Rattus norvegicus: one gene and its partners. The protein of the gene in region 5 purifies or fractionates together with the protein of the main gene of each other region. This does not show direct contact. Links are inferred from orthologs where the notes say so. Each region holds a gene or a part of one and is shown on either strand. Other genes may lie near its edges. The genes, in order: Hnrnpc, Zmym3, Nolc1, Top1, Chd4, Bcl11b and Top2a.

Region 1 (4,191 bases), on a different chromosome or scaffold from region 5:
GTCTGACCCTGACTAAATAAGTAGCAAAAAAACCAAAGCGAACTTCCTGCTTGCTACTCTGGTTTGGATTCAGGTGCACCTCCCTCACCAAAGCCAACTTCTTTACAGAACTGCTTTGCCTGTGCTTAGGAGCTCTGTCAGAGGAGATCATTGCGTGTTTGTTCCTAACACCAGGGAAGTGAAAACAGAAGGAACCTGGGGTTCAATGGCCCGCAAGCCTAGCCATGAAGGGCTTCCCATTTGTCTGTCTACCTACCTACCTCTACCTAGGTACTTATATTTATTGTTTTTTCGACAGAGAGTTTCACTATACAGCCCTAGCTGTCCTGAAACTTGAGTAGACTGGCCTTGCACTAGAAATACCGCCTAGCCCAAACCTTTCTTTAAAGAAAAAAAAAATAAAATAAAATTGGGAACACATAAACTCGCTGGACTGGAACATTTAAAATAAATCCTTTGAAAATGTCAAAGGTTTAAAGGTCTAAAGAAGACCTAAAAGATTATTTTTTATTTTTAAATCAGGAAATTTCCTGGGGTACTCTTTCCCTTTCTCAGTAGGCTATATACATTTTTGGCCTGTTTAATGTTTCTACAGTGTAACCAGAGCTTTACTGGCCGAGCTGAGGGGGTTAAGTAGTATCAAGCTATTGCAGGAAGTGGGAAACTGAGGCGGCTGGCCATTGGTTTTGCAGATTGTGTGACGACTTGGGCCCAGGAAACGGGTTTATAGGGGTCTAGGCAATTGCTCTTATAGGAGAGAACTATGGAAACCAGTTGGTTTGGAGGGAGCTGTTCACTGACAAGGCCACGTCCTTCCAATAGCTTATAGAATCTGGCAATGAGAGGGGATCTGAATTTGAAAATAACTGCAGACCTGTTTAGTTTTTAACACTTCAGGCGGCCTAGGGATTACGATCCTCCCTTCTCTAAAGCTTGTTTGCACTTCCCTTTTTTTCCAAGGCCTGAGGCTAGGGCAGGCCCTTTGCACCCGCTACCAGACTCCACCCAGGCTTTCCCACCTCCGTGCCGCGGAAATGCGGTGATCTGGCCGGACCTAGGATCTCTAGGAAGCACTGATAGGACGACACGGCCGTCAGTCAGGTCCGCCGGATACCCGGATGAGAAGCTGTGCGCGATACAAAGGCGAAAATTCCACCCAGCTTTCCGTCTGGTACAGTGACCAATAACCATCCGTCAGACACTAAGTGATAGAAAGCTTAACCAATTACTAAGTAGCTTTTGTTACGCATGTGGAAATTCTCCCAATTAGCCCAACCCACCTCGTGTGATGATTGGACGGAATTGTGAGGAGCGGTAACGCTATCTAATTAGGAGCGGGAGCGAGAAAAGTCACAGCCAATAGAAACGCCTCCGGGAGCGGGGCGGGGGCTGGACTTTTGCCTCGGCGGCAGAGGAGCTCGGGGGCCATTTTGTGAAGAGACGGAGAGCGAACGGTCGTGTGGTTCCTTGCTGTTGTAGCTCCGGCTTCTCGGCGTAGACCCGCAGTAGGAGAGGCAGGCTCTTCTCTCTCTCTCCTTCCTCTTGGTAAGCGGAGAGGGCGAGGGCAGGGGAGGCCCTGGGTTGCTGGGCCCCGCGAGGGGGTTGTAGGCGAGAAAACGGCCTCGCGGCAGAAACCGAGGCCGCGTTTGTTCCTGTGCGTTGGGGATTGGGTCTAAGGCGGGAGGCAACAGGCCTCGGCCTTGGCGCAGGTTCAACCTAGTGACCTCTAGGCCACGGTGCGTACGAAAATACCCTCTTTGCGCGCTGGTGTTTAACGGCTACTTTCATTTCCTTCCCCCATTAGGATTCCAAGGGGGAGCAGGGGAGCAAGAAAGCGAAGAACGAAATGCTTGTTAATGTAATTGTAGTGAATCTCTTACTCCGTTATTGTCTTCTAAGCTAAATGTCGGGCGTGGGTGGGGGAGCGATAACATGGTGGTGTAGTACTGGAAGCTTCTAAATTCCAGGCCGGCCACATGGCATCTGAACGGCGTTTTAACAATAGATTAAGTAGTGATTACTTTTTTCTTCAAGGGATAGATGGGTAAAAGTCGGGAGTGCTTTTGGTTTGTAAAGGGAAGTGCCCAAGGTAAATTGTAATTGGAATAATTACAGCTTTTTATCTGCAGGTTACAAATCACATAAGTTAGTGGAACTTTGCTTGAGGTAGGTACTGCTGTCCTAGAGAGAAGTGAGACTTAAAAGTGGTTGACAGGACCGGACTAAATCAGTAGTAGAGAAACTAAGATATTTCTAGGCAGGTCAAGTTACTAGAATAGACTATACACAAGAAGAGACTTAGCCGGTAGGTGGTGACAGTGCACGCCAAATGCCTCCCACCACTTGGGAGGCAGAGACAGGCAGATCTCTCTGAGTTGTGGGCCAGCCTGGTCACAGAGAGAGAGTTCCAGGACAGCTCGGGCTACACAGAGAAGCCCTGTCTCAAAAAGGGGGGTGGGGTGGGAATGAGTTTTTCTTTTTAGAGGAACCTGATACCGAAATTTACAGGACATTTTCAATCTGGACTTGGGAACAATAATTAAAAGGCACAGAAATAGTTTACAGATACTCCAGTATTAATCCTACCCATCTAGAATGGAAAAAAAGCAGTTTACAGCTAGTTATGGTAGTGCAGGCCCGGAATGTTTGCATTCTGGAGGTTCAGAGACAGGAAGATCCTGAGCAAGATCCCATTGCAAGGCAGCCCAGGACTACATAGTAAAACATGTTTAAAAATTAAAGTAGTTGCTCTCTTGTAGGTGTTGAGTTCTTTTTTTTTTTTTTTTTAGATTTATTTATTCTATATAAGTACACTGTTGCTGTCTTCAGACACACCAGAAGAGGGCATCAGATCTCTTATTACTGATGGTTGTGAGCCACCATGTGGTTGCTGGGAATTGAACTCAGGACCTCTGGAAGAGCAGTCAGTGCTCTTAACCCCTGAGCCATCTCCTCCGTCCGAGTTCTTTTAAATATAGCTAGTGATAGTGCTTAGGATTCAAGATGCCCAGGATTCAATCTCCCATACTAATAAAGGGTTTTTGTGTCACATTAACTTACCTGGGAGTTATTTCATTAGATAAACTTATTATAAAATTGGTATTTCACTCTGGCACAGTTTTTAATCTCAGCACTAGGAAGGCAGGAGATCTGAATGTAGAGTAAATCTAGTAATTCTAGGACAGCCAGGGCTATACAGAAAACAATGGGTTTGATTAAGTGACAAAAATATGCTACTAATCTTAGTTTAAACTATACACACATTTTACTCTTAAGCATACTTCATGGAATGTGCATGGCCTACTCTTGTAATTTGAGCACTTGGGGGATAGAGGTAGGAAGAGTTCAAGGCCATCCTTGGTCCAGCTTGGAGTATTAAGACTGTCTAAAGAAGAACAAATGCAGACAAAGGAAAAAAAAACAGCCTCCCACATTTTTTGTTTGGTTTCTCTGTGCAATAGGCCTGGCTTTTCTGAACCCACTGTCTTGATTAGGCTGGCCTTGAACTCTGATCCACCTGCCTCCGCCTAAGTAAGAGATGGGATTAAAGGCATGTGCCTTTAAAAAGTAGATAGAGTACAGGGTTTTGCCTGGTGAACAGTGAAAACTAGGTAAGAGAAAGTATTATAAATGTCAGAAGTTATGCAAGGTTACTGGTAGTAGTTGATGTATACTTGCCATTAAGTGTTATAAATGTAGGCCAGGCTTGGTAGGCACCTTGTTCTGGTAGAACATGTGGATTTCTTGGAGTTTTGAGGCCAGACTCAAATTACATTTTTGATTTGACTTGGGAGGAAGCTGTTAAAATTGCAAGGTTTGGATCTCTCATTTGCCATGGTCAAGCCATTTTCCAAAATGGTTGGTAATGGTTACTATTTTTTCTGTAGAGTAATTATAACATGTTTGCAATTTGATCTCTAGATTTATTGGCTTGTGATCTTGTTATAAATGGGCATGGCTGTTCAAGCAAGTAAGGAATATATTCCTAAATAGTTCGTTACAGTCTTATAGATGATGAGTGGAAGTTACTAACTAGGGAAACTACAATTGAAAAATCTTGGCTGTGTAAAACTATGTAAGTATCCAGTAAATTAGACTTCTGGATTTGTTTTGAGATATAAAACAAGCTAAACTACTACTTTATATGGAAATTTTGAGTTCTCATTTAACCCTAGTCATTGCTGAAAGTAG
Region 2 (3,075 bases), on a different chromosome or scaffold from region 5:
TTTTTGTTTTTGATGTTGTTGCTGAGACAGTCTCATGTAGCCTGTCTCAATGTAGCTAAAGATGACCTTGAGAGAATGCTGGGATAACAGACTTGTCCTTAGTTTTATGTGTTGCTAAAGATTGGATCTAGGAGTTTGTGCATGCTGAGCAAATATTCTACCACTGAATTACATCTCCAGACCATCCCCATTTTGTGGCAGGGTTTCACATAGCCTAGGTTGGCTTTGAACTCCACATGTAGCCAAGGATGACTAAATTCCTAGTCTTCCTGCCTCTACCTCCCAACTTCTGGGATTATAGACATAAGCAACTCCAGCTCAATAAAGGGCTATTGAAAAATATTTTTTCTGATGTATCTGAAAATGTATGACAAAAGGACCAACTTTCTGATATTCATTGGACAAGGTCAGAGTAATCTTCAAGGATCCACAGTTAGTCTTCTTTTTCTTGTCTTCCACTCTACAAAGCCAGCTCTCCCTCCCCCAGAGAAAACAAAGAACAATTTTAACTCTTTATTTGAAACAATTCCAGAGACAAGTTAGTTGTGACAACAGTTTCTCACTACAACACAAGGGTAGGCATGGCTCACTGAAGGAACAGGCCAGGCACCTCAGTACAATATATACATTTTAACAGTGGCTAAACTGATGACAGTTATAAAAACACCAAAAAGAAGGCTAGGGAACAGCAAAGCCAACAGGGAAAGAACTGGGTGCTCCCTCTGCCAGACACTAACTTTTCTGGGCCCACAAAGGTAAGATGGGGAAGAGAAGACGTAGGCAGTAGGACAGGACCCTGGCCCACAGCTCCTCACCTATCTTTTGACCACAAACCCCATCCTGGATGGCCTAGGACCCATAGGGTGGGCCTGGCTCTGATGATAGGGGTAGAACATCGGGGAACCCAGCCCCAATCCAAGTGAGAAGGTCATTTTTGCCTTGGGAGCTCTGTTCATAGAACTAAAGGGAGGCAGTTACAGAGGGGCTAAGCATGTTGACACCATGGTTCATGCCATCCTAAGATGGCTGAGAGGGACAAACACATAAACCAAGGGGACAGGAATCATCTGCACAATTGGAGTCTGCTCCCCATACTGAGTCATTCTCTGCCTTTGGGGAAAAGAAAGCATTTGGAACTCTTGAGAAACTGTAGCACCAACAAGTGGTGCTCCAACGGTCGGGTAAGGGACATGGTAGTGAAGAGTGCCAACAATCACTTCTTTTAGGAGGGATCAGAGTGTCTGAGCTCTGTGCTTTAGGTAAATGGTCCCTCACTTTCAGACCTCTCAGACCTTTCACATGGTACAGGGGAAGAGGAGAGAGAGAGGATACAGGGCAGAGAAGGCAGCTGGGTTCTTCCCTAGGTCAGACCTAGTAGCACAAGGCTTCACCTAGATAGATGCAGTCAGGAAACCCAAAGCCAACAGGATCACCAGAGCTATCATCACTCCATCAGAGTCAGGCCCCAGCAGAAAGGGTTTACATAAACAAAACAGGCTACCTGGTTCACGTCCATCACTGGGGGACTAGCCCCTGAGTACACTGGGGCCCCATGATTATCAAGTGGTATGAAAGAAGGTTAAAGGCAGGGGTTCCTGGGAAAGGCAGGGAATGAGAGAAAAGAAGGAGCCAGTCAAGGCCCTTCAGAATGGATAGCATTGGTTCCTGGGCCAGTTACCCCACAGGACAGACACGGATGTGATAGATGGATACAAGGTACCACGTGGGTTCAGTCTAGGTCTTCTTCCCCAGGACGACCAAGTTCCTCATAAATCTCCCGCACAGCCAGAATGCGATTGAGCATGCTCTCCAACATGCTTCGGTCCATGGGAATCACAGAGTACCAGAGAGGTGACTCAGCAATGCAGGAGCGCTCGGGTTGCAAATAGAACACGTCGTTTCGAGTCCGGAGGCTTTCAGGACTAGAACAGTGGGGATGGAGATGGGAAGACAGACATCAGTAGTAGCAAGGCAAAGCGGGCCTCTTCAGTCTCCATGGGAAGTCACTCTTATACAGTCACCAACTCACCATTTTGAGAGATAGAACTCATAGAACTTGACGGGGCAGCGGAGGGGATTCATGCGATTCTCACGCTGCTCTAAGATAGTTTCATCTTCTCTCTTTCGTTTCCCAGGACCTGTGTCTATAGTGGGGAGAAATGACCCAGACTCAGTAGAACATGGGCCCAAGGAGCCACCACCCAGAGCACGATCAAGGACACTGAGATAAGGCCGCAGAATCACCAAAAACAGCTCCATAAAGAAATAAAAGGAGAGTAACGAAGGGCTGGGGGTGTAGCTAGGTGGAAGAGAGGTTGCCTGGCATAGACAAGGCTCTGGGTTCTGCTTCCATTGTTACAAAAGAAACAACAAAGGGAGAGAGGGAGGGAGGGAGGGAGGGAGGGAGGGAGGGAGGGAGGGAGAGCAGAAGAATGTGTTAGCCTTTCCATACTAACCCAACATCCTATTTGTGTATTCCGCTGCAGCCCTCCCCAGTTCTTCCTGCTAAAGTGTTTACACTCATTCCCAAGGTGATATTTTAAAGAGGTGATCTCAGAAGGCAGACAAAATAATTGGTAAAACAGATTGTTAGAAGGTTGGGCTTGCCGTCTAGGTCAGATTAAAAATGATGGCCACTACCTTTGTACATCAGGTTAGACAGAGGCCCACAGAAGGGACCATAGAGAATGGAAACCAAAATGTAGTTTCTTTTTCTTCCTCTGTACAGTTTTTATTTGATTGTTATCTTTGTGTGCATGTGTGAGTTTGTGTTTGTGTTGTACGTGTGCACATGTGGAAGCCAGAGGTCGACATTTGGTGCCTTCTTCTATCCGCTCTACATTATGCTGAGACAGTCTGTCCCTGAGCCTGGAGCTCACCTAGCTGGTGATGGTGATGAGCTCTAGGGAAGCTGCCCATCTCCACCCTGCCTGCTCTAGCTCTAGGTTATAGACATAGGCCACCATGCCCAGGTTCACTTGACTGCTAGGGATCCAAACTCAGGTGCTCATGGCTCTATGGCTTGGATGTGTTTTACAGACAGAGCCATGTTTCCAGTCCTTGATATGTAGGGTT
Region 3 (4,236 bases), on a different chromosome or scaffold from region 5:
ATCAATGTAATTTGTCAGCCTGGCATGGTCCCAGCACTTGGAAGACAGACTGGCAGATCTGTGAGGCCAAGGCCCAAGAGGACTATATACAGAGTTCCAGGACACCAGGGTTATGTAAAGAGACCTTGTCTCAAAAGTTGTTTTACTGGCTGGAGAGATGGCTCAGTGGTTAAGAGGTCCTGAGTTCAAATCCCAGCAACCACATGGTGGCTCACAACCATGTGTAATAAGATCTCATGCTCTGTTCTGGTGTGTCTGAAGACAGCTACAGTGTATTTATATATAATAAATCTTTTTTAAAAAGTTATTTTAAGGGGCTGGGGATTTAGCTCAGTGGTAGAGCGCTTACCTAGGAAGCGCAAGGCCCTGGGTTCGGTCCCCAGCTCCGAAAAAAAGAACCAAAAAAAAAAAAAAAAGTTATTTTAACTACCTACTCAATTTGAAATGGATGTTACATCTTAAGACTTTTCCTACTTGTATAAATTAGGAGAAAAATATTCCACTTACATATCACCTAACACTGAACATGAAAACTTTATAGCATAGCTATTCCTATGCCTTTCCATCCACACTTTTACCAGCGCCCACATCTGTTAACTCCAGATCCACGCAATCCTGACACCTGTGGCTTCATATTTTCTAACTATTAACTTTTTTCCTAAACAATTGACTTTTAAAAGTCAGAAAGGAAAAAAAAAAAAGTCAGAAAGGCGGGGCTGGAGAATTGGCTCAATTCCCAGCACCCACATGGTAGCTCTCTACTGTCTGAACTCCAGAATCTAACACATCACACACATTTACATGCAGGCAAACCACCAACGTGCATGAGAGAATACATAAGCAAACAAAGGTTCCAGGTGTGGTGGCATATGCCTTAAATTCTAGCATGTGGGAAGGAGAGACAAGTAGAGATGAGTTTAAGTCTACACAGTGAGCCCCAGGACAGCCATAACTATATATTGAGACCCCATGTCTTAAGAAGGAAGGGTGGGGGGGTTGGGGATTTAGCTCAGTGGTAGACCACTTGCCTAGCCTGGGTTCGGTCCCCAGCTCCGAAAAAAAGGAAAAAAAGAAGGAAGGGCGGGGAGGAGTAAGGGGCACTGGAAGAAGGTCCATCGGCTAAGACCATTCAGGAACAGGTGGGCATGTATCATCAGATCACATGCCAGGCTGCCCTGGCTCAAAGAACTCTCTTATGTGGTCTGGTGGCCTGTAACCCAAGATTCCCAGGATCTAAGGCAGGAAGATCATAAGGCCAAGGCCAGGTCAAAAATGGCCACAGAAACAGGAGGGGACCAGGCAGTTATGATGGTGCAGCCTTTAATTCCAACGCTGAGGAATCAGAGGCAGGGGCATCTCTGGGAGGCCAGTCTACTCTGCATATGAGTTCCAGGCTAGCCAGGGTTACACGATGAGACATAGAAAATAGAAATAGAAATAAAGCAGAAGAAACCTAAATTGTCAGTTATGCTATCACCCTGAAAAAAAAAAGACCGTAAGTCTACACAGTCTTTCAAGGTGTTTCCATGAACACTACAGCTTTTCTTAAGATGCAGACGAGACATTTCACATTCCTTCACTTAATTTTGCTCTTACATGGATTTGAAGTGACACAATAGCTGTCACTCATCCCATGGTCCCTGTGTGTCTACAATGAGATTACTGGCTTGTGTATTTTTCGCTTGGTGAATCTCATTCACTCAAAAGCTGTAAATAGGGCTGAGCACACCTTTTTATCCCTGCTTTTGGTAGGCAGAGTGAGAGCTGAGTTCAAGGACAATCTGGTCTACAAAGTGAGTTGCAAGACAGCCAAGGCTACACAAAGAGAAACTCTTGTCTTGACAACAAAAACCAAAATGGCATCCTGCTATGTTCAGGCATGCTTAGGATGAGGAGGCTGAGGCAAGAGGGACAGAAGTTTACATCCATCTTCCACTCTACAAGGACTTTTATACACAATATAAAGGGTTGAACTTTGTTTTAAATAAAAGGATGCCCAGGATCATCAATGTAGAAAGTGGTGGATCTGGCCTAAGCCTCCATTTGCTTTATATCACTACCTGAAGCTCCAAGCCCAGTGCCAACTTGACAGGGAAAGATGCTCACGCTTTCTATGGTATACTGAAAGCAGCCTATCCCTGCACTCATTCATTAAGTAACTAAATAAATAATGATATCCTAGTTTTCATTGCTACGCAGTTTATCCCTGCACTCACTCATTTTTTAAAGTGTATAAATAAATAGGATCCTAGCCTTCACTAGTAACAATTTATCTTTGAGTCTCAGGTAAAACTGCAACCAAGTGTAAGTCCAACAAAAAGTACAGCAGAAGCAGGCACCGCCAAACCAATGCTCCGGGAGGGATCTATCGCCACATGTCCTAGGTCACGAGGGACCCATGCCTGCCACCACTGCAAAACTCACCAAAAGCCGTAAGATTCGGAGCTAGTCAGACGTGATGGAAAGAGATGCCGAGACCTTAAGCCTCAGAAAGGTCGGCAGAGAGGCTTCACAGACATTAGACTGACAGACCCCAGACCTCGATTTCTTGACTTCTAAACCTGACAAGGCCTAGACTACCTTGGAGAGTCGTCCCACCCCGGCCCGCAAACCAAACCAAGGACTCACAGCGCCTGTCGCTTTTGCAAATTTACTGGCCACCTCTGAGAGCTGGTTATCTCGCAGAAAGCCGAGCACAAGGGGATAAAGGTCGCTGGGAACCACGCGGCGCAAGCCGGTATCCGCCATACTCCGGGTTAAACGCGTCACTACCGTTGCGCACGCGGTACGACTGAAGAACTCCAGAGCACAGCCAGGGTAGAGGGCGGGCCCAGTGTCGTCATCACGTCGCGCGGCGCGCAGCGGAAGAATGGCCCCCACGAGGCAGGGCTCCCTCCGCCCCGGAGGCAGGACGCATGCGAAATCTATAAGTTCCTTCCGGTCTCACACGCGTCGTCATCCTGTAAAGGGCGGAGCCCACTAGCCTTCCCCCCCAAGGAGGCGGAGCTTTACGTCAGAGGTCACGCTCCCGTCCGAGGCGGGAAAACTTGCAACTTCCCGCGCATTATCTCTGCTGAATGGACTTCTATCTATAGAAACGTAGTTTCCAAGCCCCGGCTGCTATTCAGACCCCACGATAATCAAAGGAATGGAGAACTCGAGTCTCTTTCACCTTTCTAGAGGTGTCGTCTACTGCTCAAGCTCCCACCAACAATGACTTCTTCACATCCTTCACACCCAGTGAGACTCAAATCATAAGGCAATCCTAAAAGTTGTGGTGACAAAGGTGTTAGTATCCCACATTGACTGTCAGTCACAGCTAGGTTTAAAGACTGTTATCCCAACCATACACAACTCGAAAAGGGGGAGGAGAGCACGGGTTCATTCCAGAGAAAAGATCAAGGGACTCAATAACCCTTTCTTCCTTAAGTCAGAAGTCACACTGAATTCTGAAAACTCCACTATCAGCTATTTTCCAGGTCACATTAGTTATCCCTCACGAAACAATAAAGATGCACTTCCTGTGAACACCTTTTACTTTCCTCAAAACAGTCGCTCCTTCTAAAAAGAAATGTTATCCTATTTCCCAGAGGAGGTGCTTCTATCCATCCATCCATATTAATTTTTTTAAAAAAATCCACGCGCCAGGACGGTGATCAAATTAAATTGGTGAGCTTACCTGAAACACTTAATAGACACAAACCCCAGTTGAGAAAACTTTTATTCTCATAGGCTTGGTGGCAAATGCCTTGAAACCCAGGGTTGAGAGACAAAAGTAGGTAGATCTGAGGAGAGAGGGAGAGGAGGGTGGGGCAAAGGAGGAGGAAGAGGAGTTCTTTTGAGTTTGAAATACTATAATCCCAACACTTTGAAGGCAGAAGCAGTTATCCCTTGAGTGAGATCCAGGATAGTCAGGTTTATACAGAAAAACCCTGGCTTCAGAAGACAAACAACAACAACAACAAAAAAAAAAAAAAAAAAAAAACCAACCCCAAAACTGTATCTTCTCCATCCCACAAGTGTCTGTATTCTAAAATATCTCCATGCACAGGCTGTCACTGTAAGAGAGTAGGCAGGAGAACTGGGGTTTCAGTCCAGTCTGAACAACTCTACAGAACCCAGAAAGGGATTGGTGTAAATGTTAACCCATAAATACCTGAGTGTTCAGATACATGACAAGGCTGTACAAGCAGGGTGCAGTGGCTCCCTCCCACCAGTAGCCCCAGGGCTGGCAGG
Region 4 (3,500 bases), on a different chromosome or scaffold from region 5:
GTGTCAACTCTCATGGATTTTTGTTTCGGTTTGTTTTGTGGTAGAAGATAAGTGCATAAAACATACACTTGACAGTGAAAGTGTAAAATTTAATGCACACCTTCAGACTCACTATTCTGTTTCATTGAGAGGTAAAGCTTAAATTTGGGTCTGGCTAATTTTAGTGTGTGGTGTTCGTGTTTTGTTGTTGTTTTGGTTTCTTTTCTTTACCTAAGTTAGGGTTTTACTGCTGTGAATAGACACCATGACTAAGGCAACTCTTACAAGGGCAATATTGAATTGGGGCTGGCTTACAGGTTCAGAGCTTTAGTCCATTATCACAAAGGTGAGGGCACGGCAACATCTAGAAGGAGCTCAGAGTTCTACAGCTTCATTTGAAGGCTGCTAGCAGAATACTGACTTCCGGGCAGCTAGGATAAGGGTTTTAAAGCCCACACCCACAGTGACACACCCGTTCCAACAAGGCACCAACTTCTAATAGTGCCACTGGCTGGGCCAAGCATATACAAACCATCATAGTTCTTTATAACCAAATTTTAATTAAAAATAAAAACTCATGCTAGGGACTGGGGATGAAGGGAAATTATAGAACACTTACCTATTATCACAAATTGTCATACCATTTCATTATTTCCTAAAAGATCACTGTCAGAGCCACTTAACAGCATTTCCCATGGGGTTTAAAGTCCCCAAGGAACCTGTCTCAAATACTTTATTGGGTATGTGGTTTCAAGTTTTTTGTTTGTTTTCTGAGATGAAGCAAACCCAGGGCTGCATGTTTGCCAGGCAATCATTCTCCTACTGAGTTAAATCTCTAACCCACACTTTATATTACATGATTCTTAATCCACAAAGGTATGGTATATGTGGGAGTTCAGCCTCCTCATTCTAACCATTCTCCTCTATCCTATACATGGTGATTCGTGTGTGAGGGTTCTCCTGAACCTTGCCTTTCTTATTATTATTATTTTAGCTTTTAGACAGGGCCTTGCTATCCTCAAACTCTTGATCCTCCTGCTTAGCTCTTTCTAGTTCTGGGATTACAAGAGTGCAACATCACAGTGATTCAATAACCAAGTCCTGCTTAACTTACTGGCCACAGGTACCCTTGTCAGTGGCTTACACAGGCAATGTTTCTAAAAGCTTTTTGTTACTTGGACTAGTATTACAGGAGTCCAAAATGATCTTTATGTTTAAAATCAATGGTGCTGTAGAAATGACTCTATGATTAGAGCAATTCCTAGCACCAATGCTGGGTAGCACAAAACCACACGGAACAGTTCCAGATCATCAGTTATCTTCTGGTCTCCACACTTATATGCATACATGCACATACAATTAAAATAAGAAACGTTCAAAACGTGAATAGGCCAAATCTCAGTGATTTGATTCAAAACTACAGCTAGACTAGACTTAAACTACAGCTAGACTAGACTTAAACTACAGCTAGACTAGACTTGAACCACAGCTAGACTGGACTTGAAAAGTCTAGTGCAGCGTCTTTGCTTATTCTGTGGAGACATCACAGTTCTTGCTTCCATCACAGAATGGAACATAATTGGCAATAATTCTCTTGCCTCAGGCCTGGATACTGAGATTTCAGACATGTACCAACACAGAGAGCTACCAGTTAACACAACTCATACATGTAATTAGACTTTACCAAGTAAATCTTTAACAGAAAAATATAAAATTAATGAATTCAATGTCGTGTCACAGGAACCAAAAAATTAGACAAAGAATCACTGCCCACGATTTCTATCATACCAATTTTTCTTCCTTGCTCATCTGTTTCCGAGCTTCTGATTGAGCTTTGAAGTACTGGCTCATCTGTGTAAAGTCGCATTTGCTTAGGTTGGTAATCGTATTTTTTTCATCATTAGTCATTTCCTAGTTGAGTGAAAAGGTAAAAAAAAAAAAATGTAAATATAATAAGTCTTCCTATTTCTTCACAATTAAATCTTTTTTCCTTTAATCAAAGGTTATCTAGAAGGGAAGCCAACCTCAGTGACCCTTCTTCTGGGAAGAGGGGTTATTCTGTTATAAGGTGTATACTTTTAATATAAGTACATTTTAGTGGTTTATCAAAGAGAAAAATTACTCTCATTTCTTTGGGAATCTTTGACAAAACACCAACTCAAGAGACATGTATTGGGGTTGGAGATTTAGCGCAAGGCCCTGGGTTCGGTTCCCATCTCCGAAAAAAAGAAGAAAAAAAAAAAAAAAGAAAAAAGAGAGAGACATGTATTAACCAATTACTTTAGCAATAAAGAGAAACGCTTTCTTATTCCCATGCAGAACAACTTATTCTGCTCTTATTAAGTCTGACTTTAGAATAAATGCCTTAGATGATGAATTTTAATTCAGCCTTTATTCACAATTATCCAAATGGAGAACAATGATATTTTTATATAGGCTAACATGGTATGGGTAAGTCACCATGGATGAAGACAGAATGGGTGGTCAGACTAATCCTGTGCAAAGGCATCAGAAGACAATCCCTGCAGAAACAATGCTGTTTCCTTTGCTCAACTGGAATTGAGGTTTTCTGTTTAACCCAATCTGATAAACTCCTTCCTGCAGTCACATGAATGCTGAGATATATTCTTGTTGGACAAAACCCATTTAAAATAGTAATGGACAAAAGATATAGTTAAACTATGTTTTGTGGTTTTTTAAAATAAACTGTTAAGGCATTAACAAATGGGCTACACTTCCCAGTCAGCACTTTTGTGAACTATAAGATATGAACACATGGGCCACAATACCTTTCTCCAGTCTTTAAAGAAATTTTTCCTGAATATTTCCTTAGTAGTATATTCATGGTCAAGCATTTTTGCAAAGAATGTAGCTACTTCTTCTGCTTTGGGACTCAGCTTCATAACTTTACCTAAAGGAAGAAAATGGTTCCAAACAGTGAGGCACAAAACTCTTATTATATGTGCACTGACTACTGGAGAAGTCATTACTGATTGCTTACCTTTCCAAGGTGTACAAAGGTCTGCTGACACACAGTTATAACAACAACAGAGTAACAAACTGTTATATATCTACTTATAAAATTTCTCCTTCTCTTAGTAGATATTTACCTGGGTCTTTTTTTGGAGACTATGCCAGTTAATTGTTCCCAGGTGCCTGCTCAGGACAGGGATGACCTGGGGAAGGCCCAGCCACTCTTCCTTTTCCTTTCAGCAAGCAGGGTCCTTTACACCTCTTCAATGGTTTTTAAAAATCAAATCCTCAGAAGGACTCCTGCCACTGCTAAGCTAAGCAGCCTCTGTTCAGGAAGGGGAGGAAAGGATAGGGGCAGGGAGTGGAAGAAAGGAATTGTAGGGAAAAGAAATAGGCATCTTTCTTCTTCAAAGTTACGTGGGTGGAATATGAATAAAAATATATATTCATAGCAGGCAAGCCCAGATTTTTCCCACATAAAAAGCCTAAGTAAGACCTTCCTCTAGAACCTTACTATTCAAGTAGTTCACAGACCAAAAGCATCACAA
Region 5 (3,500 bases):
GTGTCTAACACAAGGATGGTGTGGCAGTTGCCTGTTAGCTCAGCCCCACAGTGAGGAGTGTTGGAAAGATGATCGCAGGCTGTTGGGTTGCATCATTAGTCATTCAGAGACTCTTCGTCCGACCGGTCCTTGTCCTGTTCATGTAGGAAGTACTACAAGTACATTCTCACTCGGAATTTTGAGGCACTTAATGCTCGAGGCGGTGGCAACCAGGTTTCTCTGCTGAATGTGGTGATGGATCTTAAGAAGTGCTGCAACCACCCGTACCTCTTCCCTGTGGCAGCAATGGTAGGTGTGCTTCCTTGGCTCCTGTGCCTTGCCACGTCTCCTTGTGGGTCTCCTTCCATGTTTCTTCCTTTATTTCTGTCACCAGGAGGCCCCTAAGATGCCCAATGGTATGTACGACGGCAGTGCCCTGATCAGAGCATCTGGGAAATTGTTGCTGCTACAGAAGATGCTTAAGAACCTGAAAGAGGGAGGCCATCGTGTGCTCATCTTCTCCCAGGTACGTGGGCCCATCCTGAACTTTACAGACAGCAGTGGGACAGCCCTAGTGACTGAGGAAAGGGATTATCATCTGACAGCTCTGTAATTAAGTGGTTCCTTTTTCCAGATGACCAAGATGTTGGACTTGCTAGAGGATTTTTTAGAACACGAAGGTTATAAATATGAACGTATTGATGGTGGAATCACTGGGAACATGCGTCAGGAGGCCATTGATCGCTTCAATGGTAAGAGAAGAGTGTCTTATCTCCAGGCAGTCAGTTCGTTAACATTAATAAGCTGGGCATGGTGTGTACATAACCTTTAATCCCAGCACTCAGGAGGCAGAGGCATGCAGATCTGAGTTCAAGGCCAGCCTGGTCACCTACAGAGAGAGTTCAGGACAGCCTCAGCTGCTTCTGTCTCAAAACAAAAATGTCATTATTTCGTGTGTGTGTGCCTAGGTACTACTGTAATTATCTCATGTGTGTGCCTAGGTACTATAGTTACAGAGGGCTGTGAGCTACCGTGTGGCTGTTGGGAATTGAACCCAGTTTTATATCCATCCTCTCTGGCCTGGAACTCTCTGTAGACCAGCCTGGACTCAGACACATAGAGATGGACCTTCCTTTAGACGGAGTTATTTGCCCCTGCCCAGCTCTGATCATTTTCCTCTATTTTTTTAAAAGTGTGCATACATGCATGCGAGCTTGCATCTGCATACATGTGCACCATGGCACAGATGTGCGAGTCACAGGAAAACACAGAGTTGGTTCTCTGTGAATCCTGAGGCCTGAGCAGAGATTACCTAGACACCTTTACCTGCCGAACAGCCTCATCAGCCCCACTGGTTTTGTTTTTAAGACTTGATTTTGTTTTGTGTCTGGATGTTTTGCCTGCACGTGAGTGTGCGCCATATGTGTGTGGTGCCTGTAGGGGCCAGAAGAGAGCATTGGGTCCATTGTAGCTGGAGGTCCAGCTGGTGGTGAGTCACCCTGTGGGTGCTAGGAATGAACCCCAGCCTCTGGAAGAGCAGCCAGTGCTCCTAACTGCCGAGCTATGTCCAGCACCTCCATCCCTCCAGAAGCCCAGCTCTTGTTCTTTTGGGTCTTGGTTGACTGACAGGGAGGAGGAAAGCTTTTGAACAAGTAATGGAATAGCTTTAAGAGGTTTTTCTTAACTTCTACCCTTTGGAGTCTTTGGTCTTTTTGCTTAAGCGGGGATGGGGTGGGGGAAGTTCTTTTGGTTCTTTTTTTTTTTTTTTCCGGAGCTGGGGACCGAACCCAGGGCCTTGCGCTTCCTAGGTAAGCGCTCTACCACTGAGCTAAATCCCCAGCCCGGGGTGGGGGAAGTTCTTTAACCCTGGTTATACCCTATGGCTGAAAGGAAGAACAGATTAGTTTTGGTTATAAGTTTTTTTTTACATATGTTTATGTGCCTACTTGTCTCTGTGTATACCATGTTTATACAGGTGCCCGAAGTGGCCCGAAACTTAGAGGCTGCTCTTAGCACCTGTCAGACAGAGGCACTAGGAACCGAACTTAGAATCCTCTGCCAGAGTGCGAGTGCTCTTTATCTGTCTCTACCCCCAGGGGCTCAACTACACCTTTCCCCAACCTTTCATTTTAGTTAGTTATTTTTGTTGGTTTTTTTCTGAGATAAGTTCTTTGTAGTAGTTATCCTTGTTGTTTAAAATGTGTTTGGACTTAAAAGTTTAAAACAATCCAGCGTTAACCTGCCTCTGTCAGTGCCCTTCCCAGGCCCCGGTGGCTCAGGCCTGTGTTCTCAGGCCCTGAGTGGTACAGTAGGAGGGTCGAGATTGCGGTGAGGCTGGGAAGAGCACTGGCTCAATTCCAGAGGACTCAATTTCCCAGCACCTACATGACCGCTCACAACCATTTATAACTCCAGGTCCAGGGAATCCGACATCCTTTAATGGCCTCCCAGTCAGTGCACATACACTGTGAGCAGACATACTGCAGGCGAACACACACATAAAATAAAGTAAGGATCTAAGGAGTAACTCACGGACGCATGAGACCTGTCTGGGGAAAAAGGCAGGGGCAGTGAGGGCCAGCAGGGAAAGTCACATGTCACCCAGCTCGTTTATCAGATCCCTCTCCTACGTGTGAAAGTTCTTGCCAGAAGCCCTCTGACAACACGTATGTACGCATGCACGTATGTGCAATACACAGAATAAGCAAAAAGGCCAGTGAGGTGATTGAGTATGGAAGGTGCATCCTGGCTTACTTACTTCCCTGCGTTTCTACGTCCTGGAGTCACAGTGGCAGGAGAAGACTGGCTCTGTCCTCTGACTTCGTGTGTGTGCTGGCAGGCCTACTCTCACGTACTGACGCATGAATCAGGGAGCTGTCTGGGGATGAGTGCTCACCAACATTGCGTGAGGTCTTGGATTCAGTCCCCAGCACCGCTAAGAGTGGTGACACAGCTGTGACCTCAGCAATGGGGAAGGACGGACAGGAAGTTCAGATTACCCTGGCTATCTAGACCAATCTGGTCTAGATGAGACCATGTCTCAAAAACAAAACAAACAACAAAAACTCAGTAAAGTAAGTTATGTAACTGTGGTACAGCTTCTAACAGTAGAAAATGAATAACATTGGATCCCATTGTCACCTGAACTGTAGACCCTAACTGAATGTTGCTAGTTTTCCCTTAATGTCCTTTTCAGTTGAGGATCCAATCCCAGGTCCCACCAATAGGTCCAAGTAGATTCCACTCTTTATACTTACAGTTGGACAAAACGCTCCTGACATTTCACCCCTAGTGAAATGTCATTCCTGGCATTGGTACTTCAGACTTAGTCAGTTATTTCAAGCAGTGTCTCTTTCTTGAAAGATGCTTGCCAGGAATGCCACAGTGGGATATTGCACGTGATGTCTGCATTTGTCCTTTCTGCTGATTATTGGTTACTTGGTCCTAGGCACGGTGTCTGCTAAAATTATCTACTGTAAAGTTTCTTTTTCTCACTGAAATTCATACATATTTTGAGGGCA
Region 6 (4,285 bases), on a different chromosome or scaffold from region 5:
GTCCTTTTCCTACCCATCCTGCCTACAGTAACCTTAACACACTAGGAAGAAGCCCTTCCCCTACTCCCGACACATACACCAAGATCATGGATGCTATTTTGGGGCCTTTCTGGTTTCCTGGACTATCAGTGATTCGAAGTTGCATCATCACCGAAGAACCTTAAGCTACTGCCCCACAGGCCCAAGGCTGCCACCCAACTGAAAAAAAAAAAAAAAAAAAAAAAAAAAAAAAAAAAAAAAAAAAAAAAACCGATCGGCCACGTCTTAGATGGTTTCCTTCAGATCTAAAATCTCACATGGGAGTGAGTGTCTGTAGGGGCTGAGACAACACCTGCTCGGCTGCCCAGGCCTTTTGCAATCAGAGCTCCTGTATCCCATGCTTCATAACTAGTCACAATCCCCAGGCTACACTGTATCTCCTGCATCCCGGTCTTGCTACCTCTGGGGTGATACTGCACGGACAGAAAAGCCAGCTGCTTTTCTGAACACCTTTTGAACCGCTCTCCCTGCTTAACCCCCTGAAACAATGCCCAGGCTCCCAGGGTCCCCAGAAGGCAGGTAGAACTGCTCAGCAGCCTGGCCTGCTGCCCCCTTTTCTCTCCAGCACTCTTGCCTTCTCTGCCTCTGCAGAAGCATCAGCTGGCTTTTCCCAGCTGCTCAGAGCAAGGGTGAGACAGAGAACCAAATGCATGGAAGGATGTCACATGAAGCACCCCTCACCCCCAGGCCCAGCTGCCACCGGTCCCTCTGGTCAGAGCTTGCTCAGGATGTCCCAGGGATGCCCAGAGAAGGACAGCAAATCTATCTGCCTTTCCCCTAATACTGCAAATGACCCAGTGTCAGGGGCTACCAGCTTCTCCCCTTCCCACAGACCCCCCCCCTCAAAAACAATTCTTGCAATTATACAGGGGATGGGGGTGGCAGCAAACTGCCTCTTGGACAAATTAGGGTCTGGAAGTGTGGATGTTTTAACAACCACTTCACCTAAAGGTAGGAAGTGGACTGTAAAATAACCCATGGCTGCAGCATGCTAAAGGAAGAAAATAAATGTCAAGTGGTCAAAAGGATCTTGATGAGACCAGGCTCAAATTTGGCTGCAAAACATTTTGTTTTAAATGCAACCAGCAAGTCTCCTTTGACATTACAACATTGAAAAAAATAAAGGAAACTTCCCTTCCCTTCTACCCGTAAGAGACATCCCTCTCCCAAGAACCTCACTTTAATATATATGCCCCCCGAGATAATAATAATAATAATAATAATAATAATAATAATAATAATAAACGCACGAATTCTTACTAACGTGTCTGCGGTAACAAAGGAGAGATGGGAACAGCAATAGCTTCGAGCAGATGGCTCCTGTGCTGGGTTGGAGGGGAGGGGAGAGCCCCTTTATATATTTATTTATTTATTTAAATTCTTTAAAATATAACATAAATATTCGGCTCTCGACTGCAGGGCAGTCAGTCCTCAGCGGCGGCCCGTCATTCACAGGCTTCTCCAGCTCCAGCGCGGGGAGCCCGGCCCCAACGCAGTGAGGTGAGCGAAGAATTGCAAGATTACAACCTGCCTGAGGTCTCGATGGCACCCAGAGGAAATTTTATTTCTATTGCAATAAAAAAAATAATAAATAAAAAGCAACCGCAACCAAAAGAGAAAAAAAAAAAACCCGCGGGGAGAGACTCGCGCTGGCTGCGGCCAGGGCGTCCCAGAGCTCTGCAAGCCGACCTCGCTGGTGGCAGCGCCGGGACCCGGCGGGTTCCGGGAGAACTGTGTACCTGCGCGGCTCGCGCTGGCGTTTTCTTTTCTAAACGAACCCAGCTGGGGCGTTGGAAGCCGCTGAGTGTCTGCCCTGCTGCCTGACTTTGCCAGCCCCGCCACTTGCTTGAAATCCGGCGGATTTGCACTGCGACCTGCCTTGTTTATTTAGATGGGGAAGATGAAAGATACAGAGATAGAGAGATGGATAAGAGGATGATAGGTATTTTCTCCCCTTCCTTTTTTTTTTCTCCTCTTCATTTTTACTGTTACAAGAGCATCCCTCTTTTCCCACTCATGACTCTTTTTTTTAACTCGTGGCGGGGATTTTTTTTCACCAACCCAAAACCTCCCCCCACACCTTTTTTTTTTTTTTGAGTTGGGGGGGAAAGAAGACAAGACCGTCCCAGGAGACGGAGGTGGGGAAATGAGGAGGGGGTGCTCCAGCCCAGCAAACAGCTGCGCAGCTGGATTCTTTTGCAAATAGCGAGAGGAGGGGAGGGGACGGCGGCTTCGGAATCCTAGCAGCGGCGCGGTCGGCGCCCTGCCTGGCGGGGCGCAGCGACCGGGAACCCGAAGCCCGCGGCTACCCCTTTACCCTGCGGGTCCTCGGGTCCAGGGCTCACTCGGGGCTCCGTCCGCCCGCTTCTCCGAGCGCGGACCCACGCGCTCGCCAACTTTTCCCGGTTCCCCCTCCCCCTCCGCTCCCCGGCCCCCTCCCCCTCCTCTCCAAACCCCGCCACCAGCGCCGCCGCCGCCACACACGCCGCTTGGAGGGCCGAGCGTCCAGCCGGGCTCGGCGCGCACAGCCGCCTGCAAGCCCGCGCACCCCCTCCCCGGCCCGGAGCCCGCGGCGGCTGCCCCCGGCTGCAGAGAAACTTTCCCAGAGCCCCACGCTCGGCCTCTGAGCCCGGTTTGGTGTCCCCAGCCCCGGGCGCCCGGAGCCCCAGCCGCCGGCCCCTCGCGCGTGCGGCGGACACTTACGCGTGATGAGTTCCCTCTGGGACAAGTGCTGCGGGTTGCCCTGTTTGCGGCGGGACATTGCCCCGGCATCTATTCTGGCATCGCCCGGAAAGCTGCACAGATGCGGGCCGGGGAGGGGGTCTGAGCCGCCGCCGCCGCCGCCGCGCCTCCTCCTCCGCCCGGGTTGGTGCCTCTGCCCTTCCTCTCTTCCTCCTCTTCTTCTTCTTCTTCGTCTTTATTTTGCTTTTTCTTCTGGGCTGTGTTTTTGTTTTTGTTTTTGCAAAAAGAAAAAAGAAAAAGCCAGGAAGATGGCTTGCTCTAAAATAGAGAAAGGCTAAAATAAATTATAAAGCTGCTGTTGCTCGCCGCGGGCTGGCCGGTTTCTTTAAAAATATATTCTTTTGGAGGAAAAATATCTCTCACACTTCTTCAAAGTGCTTGGCCTCTTAGACTTGTAAATGTCTTCTTGAAGTTACGCCGGGTTTTGCACCGGCCTCTGACACTTTTCTTTCGGGGTCTGGTAGGTGGAACGCGCACTTCCACCCAAGGGGAGGGGGGAGGAAAAATGCAAACAAATTTCAAAAAAGCAAAAAAAAAAAAAAAGGCAAAGAAAACTTGGGGACTTGTCTCGTACCCCCTCACCCCGCCCCCTCAAAAAACCCGAAAGCAATGAAAAACTGCCTTGGTTCGGTTCTTTCTGGGTTTTCTGCGCGCTGCCTGCTTTTTTTCTTTCTCGGAGGCTGACCCCTCCGAGGCTCTGGGGGACTCCGGGAGCGGCTCCTTCCCGGGTCACCTGGCAGGCTGGCGCCGGCCGGAGGGGCTGCGGGTCCCCGCGTGCGCTCCCCAGCGCTGCCCGGCGCCGCCGGCCCAGGGGGAGCGGGACTGCGGGGCGGCTCGCCCAATGCGCCCGGGTCGGTGCGGGCGTGGACGGGAGCTATAGATTGCAACGTGAAGATGGCGGAGTCCGGGTTCTCCGGGAGCTCTCGGTCTCTCTGTGGCTGGGGCTGCCTCTGTACAATGGGATAAAATTCAAGTTCAAGTGCGGACGTGACGTTTAATCTGCTCTAGAGACAAAAAGACCCAGAGAGTCGGAGCACTGGGGGCGACTAGCGGTGGCTTTTTAACATTGTACCCTGTAAGAGAACAAGAAAGCACACACCGAGACACGCGCGCGCGCACTCACACACACTCGCCAGTGCGCACACCCGCAACCCAGGCCGGCCACACGTGCAAACTACTGTTTTTGTGAGCTGGTCTTATCACCGAGCACCGGCTTCGCAAAAGTGGGGGTGGGGGGGAGTAAATAAAATAAAATCTTGTCCCCACTCACTCTTCCTCCCCCGGGAGCCGGACTCCCTGAGAAAGGGGGCGGAGTGCTGTGTGAGTAACTGAGGTACACTGAGTCCAAGTAAGTCTAAACCCACCCACTCAAGAAGGAGGGCTGGAAATCGGGGGGGGGGGGGAGACTGAGGCGACAGATACAATTGTTTTACTTCACTCCCTGGAAAAGTAGTTACAGTTGGTTTTACTTATTTGGGAAGGGGGGTATTTTATAGAAACTTCC
Region 7 (3,500 bases), on a different chromosome or scaffold from region 5:
TTTACCACAGGTGTCTAAAAACAAGCAAGAAATAGCATTCTACAGTCTTCCCGAGTTTGAAGAATGGAAGAGTGCAAATCCAAATCACAAAAAATGGAAAGTCAAGTACTACAAAGGTTTGTGATGAAACCTACGTAGAAATTCTCAGTTTTGTTCTGTAGGGCTACATGGGGAACTGACCTGTTTTGTTTGTCTCTGTAGGTTTGGGCACGAGCACATCAAAGGAAGCTAAGGAGTATTTTGCAAATATGAAACGACATCGTATTCAGTTCAAATACTCTGGCCCTGAAGACGATGCTGCGATCAGCCTGGTGAGTTGGAGTCAGACTGTCCCTGTCCATTCTGCCTCCAGGAGTCACTATCAGTGTGCTCAGTTACAGCGCTTAGCTCCCAGAAGAGGGTTTGTGCTCAATTTTAGCAGTTAACCCTAGAAGAGTTTTTTATGAAATAAAACTTTTTTGAGGGCTGGAGAGATGGCTCAGAGGTTAAGAGCACTGACTGCTCTGCCAGAGGTCCTGAGTTCAATTCCCAGCAACCACATGGTGGCTCATAACCATCTGTAATCAGGTCTGGTGCCCTCTTCTGGCCTGCGGTGTACATGCAGGCAGAAAGCTGTATGATGTATACATGATAAATAAATACATGTTTAAAAAAAGTGATTTTTGTAAGCATATCTGAGTGACAGAACTAGATACCTTAGAAAATGGGACCTTTGATGTTTCTGTTGTATAAAAAAGATGGGACCGGGCTGCTGAGATGGCCCAGTGGTTTAGAGCGCTGGCTGCTCTTCCAGAGGTCCTGAGTTCAATTCCCAGCAACCACATGGTGGCTCACAACCATCTGTAATGAGATCCGATGCCCTCTTCTGGTGTGTCTGAGGACAGCGACAGTGTACAGTGACAGTGACTCATATAAATAAATTAATTAAAAAAAAATGGAACCAGTAAGTACCAGTGACATCTTTTCTACCTTCTAATTTATAGGCCTTTAGTAAAAAACAGGTCGATGATCGAAAGGAATGGTTAACTAATTTCATGGAAGATAGAAGACAGCGGAAGTTACTTGGCCTTCCTGAGGTAAGAGCTTTAAATATATCCCATAAAGTATGCTATTTTAATTGACTTTAGAATTGGTGTTACACCAAGTTAATATTACTAAGCAGTAGTTTCAGTATAAAATTTGTAATAACTATAGTATATAACACTGGTCCTATGAGCTTATGACGGCATTGAAAAAGTTCGGGTGTTGGGAGTTCTTTGTTTGTTTGGATTTTTTTGGTTTTTTTTTTGGTTTTTGTTTTGTTTTTGTTTTTGTTTTTTTTTCTGAGCTGGGGACCGAACCCAGGGCCTTGCGCTTGCTAGGCAAGCGCTCTACCACTGAGCTAAATCCCCAACTCCGATTTTTTTGGTTTTTGTTTTTTTGTTTTTTTTGTTTTTTGTTTTTTTTTTTCAGACAGGGTTTCTCTGAGTAGGCCTGGCTGGCCTGGAATTTGCTTTGTAGACCAGGCTGGCTTTGAATTCACACAGATCCTCCTGCCAGTATTTGAATCATAGGCAAGACCACCTCCTTAAATGTCTTGAAGTTAAGAGGCAAGACATTTTTCACACGTTTATGCTGATGCTGCTATAAACAGTTACCATGTGGTCAGGCACCTGCAAGTGTGTGCTCTTGTGTGTAATATGAAGTATTTATATGACAAGCAGCCAGGTCAGGCTGGGCTAGAGAATAAGTAAAGTTAAAAAAAAAAAATTAAAGGGCTGGAGCTACAGCTGAGATCGAGTGCTTGCCTGGGCCTTGAGTTTAATTCTTAGTAACACTCCACTTCCCCTACAAAAGAGCTTCAGTGTTTTACACACCGCGGTGTTAGACAGCAGCAACATCATCTACCTGTTGTTTTCCTTTTGTGATTATTTGTCTCTTTGTTTTTCTCTGTTTGTCCTCGGCTGTTGTAAAACTTGCTCTGTAGATCAGGCTGCCCTTGAACTCACAGAGAAGAGATCTTTCTACCTGCCCTCTGCCTCCCAAGCACTGGGATTAAAGGTGTGTGCCACCACTTTCTGGCTCACCTATTGGTTTTGTTTTCGTTTTAATTGTGGAATATTTATTATTGCAATGAAGAATATGTACAGTATAAATGGACAAATGAAATTAATTCATGCAATATACTGAATAGAATCCAAATCAATTAAGACAGAAACACAGGAGATATTTTAAAGACAGAATGTTCTCAATTACAAAAAGACAGAAGGAAGCATCAACTTAGATGGCTTCTCTCAGTTTATGCTTGGTGTTTTGAGTATTTTCTGGAGGAATTCACTTCTGTACAGGCAGGATTTAAACTAAGTTCTAACAAATCCTGCCAGCATTTTGAAAAGGAGTTGTCAAGAATGCTCAAACATCAAATGAAGAAGGAAGAAAATATGTGGTTACAGGGATTCTAGTCTCTAATGAAAGAAAAACAAAATTATGGACAGCTAGCTAAACAGGCAGGTCTGGAGAAGACCTCAGACCACCTACTGCAGTTGTCCCTGCTGCAGAACACTGCGGTCTTCAATGGTCTTTTGCCAGCTCACTTAGGGTGTTTTAAGGAGTGAAGAAGTGATAGTTCTGAGTGTTTTTAGTGTTGTACTAAGTGTTGGTAAGACCAGTAGTTTATTTCCAAGCAGACCCTTTAATGCTGTCTTTGGTCCCTTAGGATTATTTGTATGGACAAACCACTATGTACCTGACCTATAATGATTTCATTAACAAGGAACTTATCCTCTTTTCAAACTCTGATAATGAAAGATCTATCCCATCTATGGTAGATGGTAAGTGCCAGTGGGTTAGTCTGTTTTTACCATGAAATGGTGATTTATGCCCAGAAATTACTAAATTGAAAATGCTAATGATTGTTCTTTCATTTTAAAGGTTTGAAACCAGGTCAGAGAAAGGTTTTGTTTACTTGTTTCAAACGGAATGACAAGCGAGAGGTGAAAGTTGCCCAGTTAGCTGGGTCAGTGGCAGAAATGTCCTCTTATCACCATGGTGAGGTAAATGCACTTTAACATTTCCACCATGCCTTGAGCAGGAATAATTGAAAGTTATCCTTGAAACACATTTGGTACAAGTGTACGATGCTCTCTCTCTGTCCATAGTAGAGAACAGCTTATAAAACCTTTCAAAACTAAAATATGATTACCCTCTGACCAACAGTTCTATTTCTAGAAATAACATTCCACTAGGATATTTGTCTGCCAAGTTATGTTCATAGGTTTTTAGTAAGATTTAGTATTCTTGTGTGATGTAAAAGTTTAGACACCTTGAAGTCTTATGTTTTGTGCCCTTTCTGCCATCTATTCATCTTGAAAAGATCACTAAACATCTAACCCTCACAACCTTAGAAGACTGCATGACTTAGTTGAAGTAGTGAAGACGTACACAGACACAGGTTTGTGTCCCTCTTTGGATCAGAGCAGTGATTGTTCTTTTCCCTCCACAGATGTCGCTGATGATGACCA

The links.
Region 1: the proteins of Chd4 (region 5) and Hnrnpc purify together in Homo sapiens (affinity purification with western blotting; 3 studies listed by BioGRID, with this or other methods). This does not show direct contact. The link is inferred for Rattus norvegicus from reciprocal best matches to the Homo sapiens genes CHD4 and HNRNPC.
Region 2: the proteins of Chd4 (region 5) and Zmym3 purify together in Homo sapiens (affinity purification with mass spectrometry; 3 studies listed by BioGRID, with this or other methods). This does not show direct contact. The link is inferred for Rattus norvegicus from reciprocal best matches to the Homo sapiens genes CHD4 and ZMYM3.
Region 3: the proteins of Chd4 (region 5) and Nolc1 purify together in Homo sapiens (affinity purification with mass spectrometry, with the first as the bait; 3 studies listed by BioGRID). This does not show direct contact. The link is inferred for Rattus norvegicus from reciprocal best matches to the Homo sapiens genes CHD4 and NOLC1.
Region 4: the proteins of Chd4 (region 5) and Top1 purify together in Homo sapiens (affinity purification with mass spectrometry; 3 studies listed by BioGRID and IntAct, with this or other methods). This does not show direct contact. The link is inferred for Rattus norvegicus from reciprocal best matches to the Homo sapiens genes CHD4 and TOP1.
Region 6: the proteins of Chd4 (region 5) and Bcl11b purify together in Homo sapiens (affinity purification with mass spectrometry; 4 studies listed by BioGRID and IntAct, with this or other methods). This does not show direct contact. The link is inferred for Rattus norvegicus from reciprocal best matches to the Homo sapiens genes CHD4 and BCL11B.
Region 7: the proteins of Chd4 (region 5) and Top2a purify together in Homo sapiens (affinity purification with mass spectrometry; 3 studies listed by BioGRID and IntAct, with this or other methods). This does not show direct contact. The link is inferred for Rattus norvegicus from reciprocal best matches to the Homo sapiens genes CHD4 and TOP2A.

What each region holds. Positions count from the first base shown.
Region 1 is NC_086033.1:27,279,916-27,284,106, reverse strand, and holds the start of Hnrnpc (heterogeneous nuclear ribonucleoprotein C), read left to right. Parts: upstream 1-1,391; 5' UTR 1,392-1,545; intron 1,546-2,129; exon of another isoform or gene 2,130-2,166; intron 2,167-4,191. UniProt on the Homo sapiens protein: Binds pre-mRNA and nucleates the assembly of 40S hnRNP particles. Interacts with poly-U tracts in the 3'-UTR or 5'-UTR of mRNA and modulates the stability and the level of translation of bound mRNA molecules. Single HNRNPC tetramers bind 230-240 nucleotides.
Region 2 is NC_086039.1:70,568,073-70,571,147, forward strand, and holds the end of Zmym3 (zinc finger MYM-type protein 3), read right to left. Parts: intron 2,145-3,075; coding exon 2,030-2,144; intron 1,923-2,029; coding exon 1,730-1,922; 3' UTR 501-1,729; downstream 1-500. UniProt on the Homo sapiens protein: Plays a role in the regulation of cell morphology and cytoskeletal organization.
Region 3 is NC_086019.1:254,868,923-254,873,158, reverse strand, and holds the start of Nolc1 (nucleolar and coiled-body phosphoprotein 1), read right to left. Parts: upstream 2,801-4,236; 5' UTR 2,749-2,800; coding exon 2,629-2,748; intron 1-2,628. UniProt on the Homo sapiens protein: Nucleolar protein that acts as a regulator of RNA polymerase I by connecting RNA polymerase I with enzymes responsible for ribosomal processing and modification.
Region 4 is NC_086021.1:169,772,195-169,775,694, reverse strand, and holds part of Top1 (DNA topoisomerase 1), read right to left. Parts: intron 2,891-3,500; coding exon 2,769-2,890; intron 1,891-2,768; coding exon 1,768-1,890; intron 1-1,767. UniProt on the Homo sapiens protein: Releases the supercoiling and torsional tension of DNA introduced during the DNA replication and transcription by transiently cleaving and rejoining one strand of the DNA duplex.
Region 5 is NC_086022.1:159,598,318-159,601,817, forward strand, and holds part of Chd4 (chromodomain-helicase-DNA-binding protein 4), read left to right. Parts: exon of another isoform or gene 1-146; coding exon 147-288; exon of another isoform or gene 289-373; coding exon 374-505; exon of another isoform or gene 506-613; coding exon 614-731; exon of another isoform or gene 732-3,500. UniProt on the Homo sapiens protein: ATP-dependent chromatin-remodeling factor that binds and distorts nucleosomal DNA. Acts as a component of the histone deacetylase NuRD complex which participates in the remodeling of chromatin.
Region 6 is NC_086024.1:132,688,303-132,692,587, forward strand, and holds the start of Bcl11b (B-cell lymphoma/leukemia 11B), read right to left. Parts: upstream 2,801-4,285; coding exon 2,743-2,800; intron 1-2,742. UniProt on the Homo sapiens protein: Key regulator of both differentiation and survival of T-lymphocytes during thymocyte development in mammals.
Region 7 is NC_086028.1:84,456,094-84,459,593, reverse strand, and holds part of Top2a (DNA topoisomerase 2-alpha), read left to right. Parts: intron 1-10; coding exon 11-116; intron 117-201; coding exon 202-311; intron 312-983; coding exon 984-1,076; intron 1,077-2,695; coding exon 2,696-2,810; intron 2,811-2,910; coding exon 2,911-3,032; intron 3,033-3,481; coding exon 3,482-3,500. UniProt on the Homo sapiens protein: Key decatenating enzyme that alters DNA topology by binding to two double-stranded DNA molecules, generating a double-stranded break in one of the strands, passing the intact strand through the broken strand, and religating the broken strand.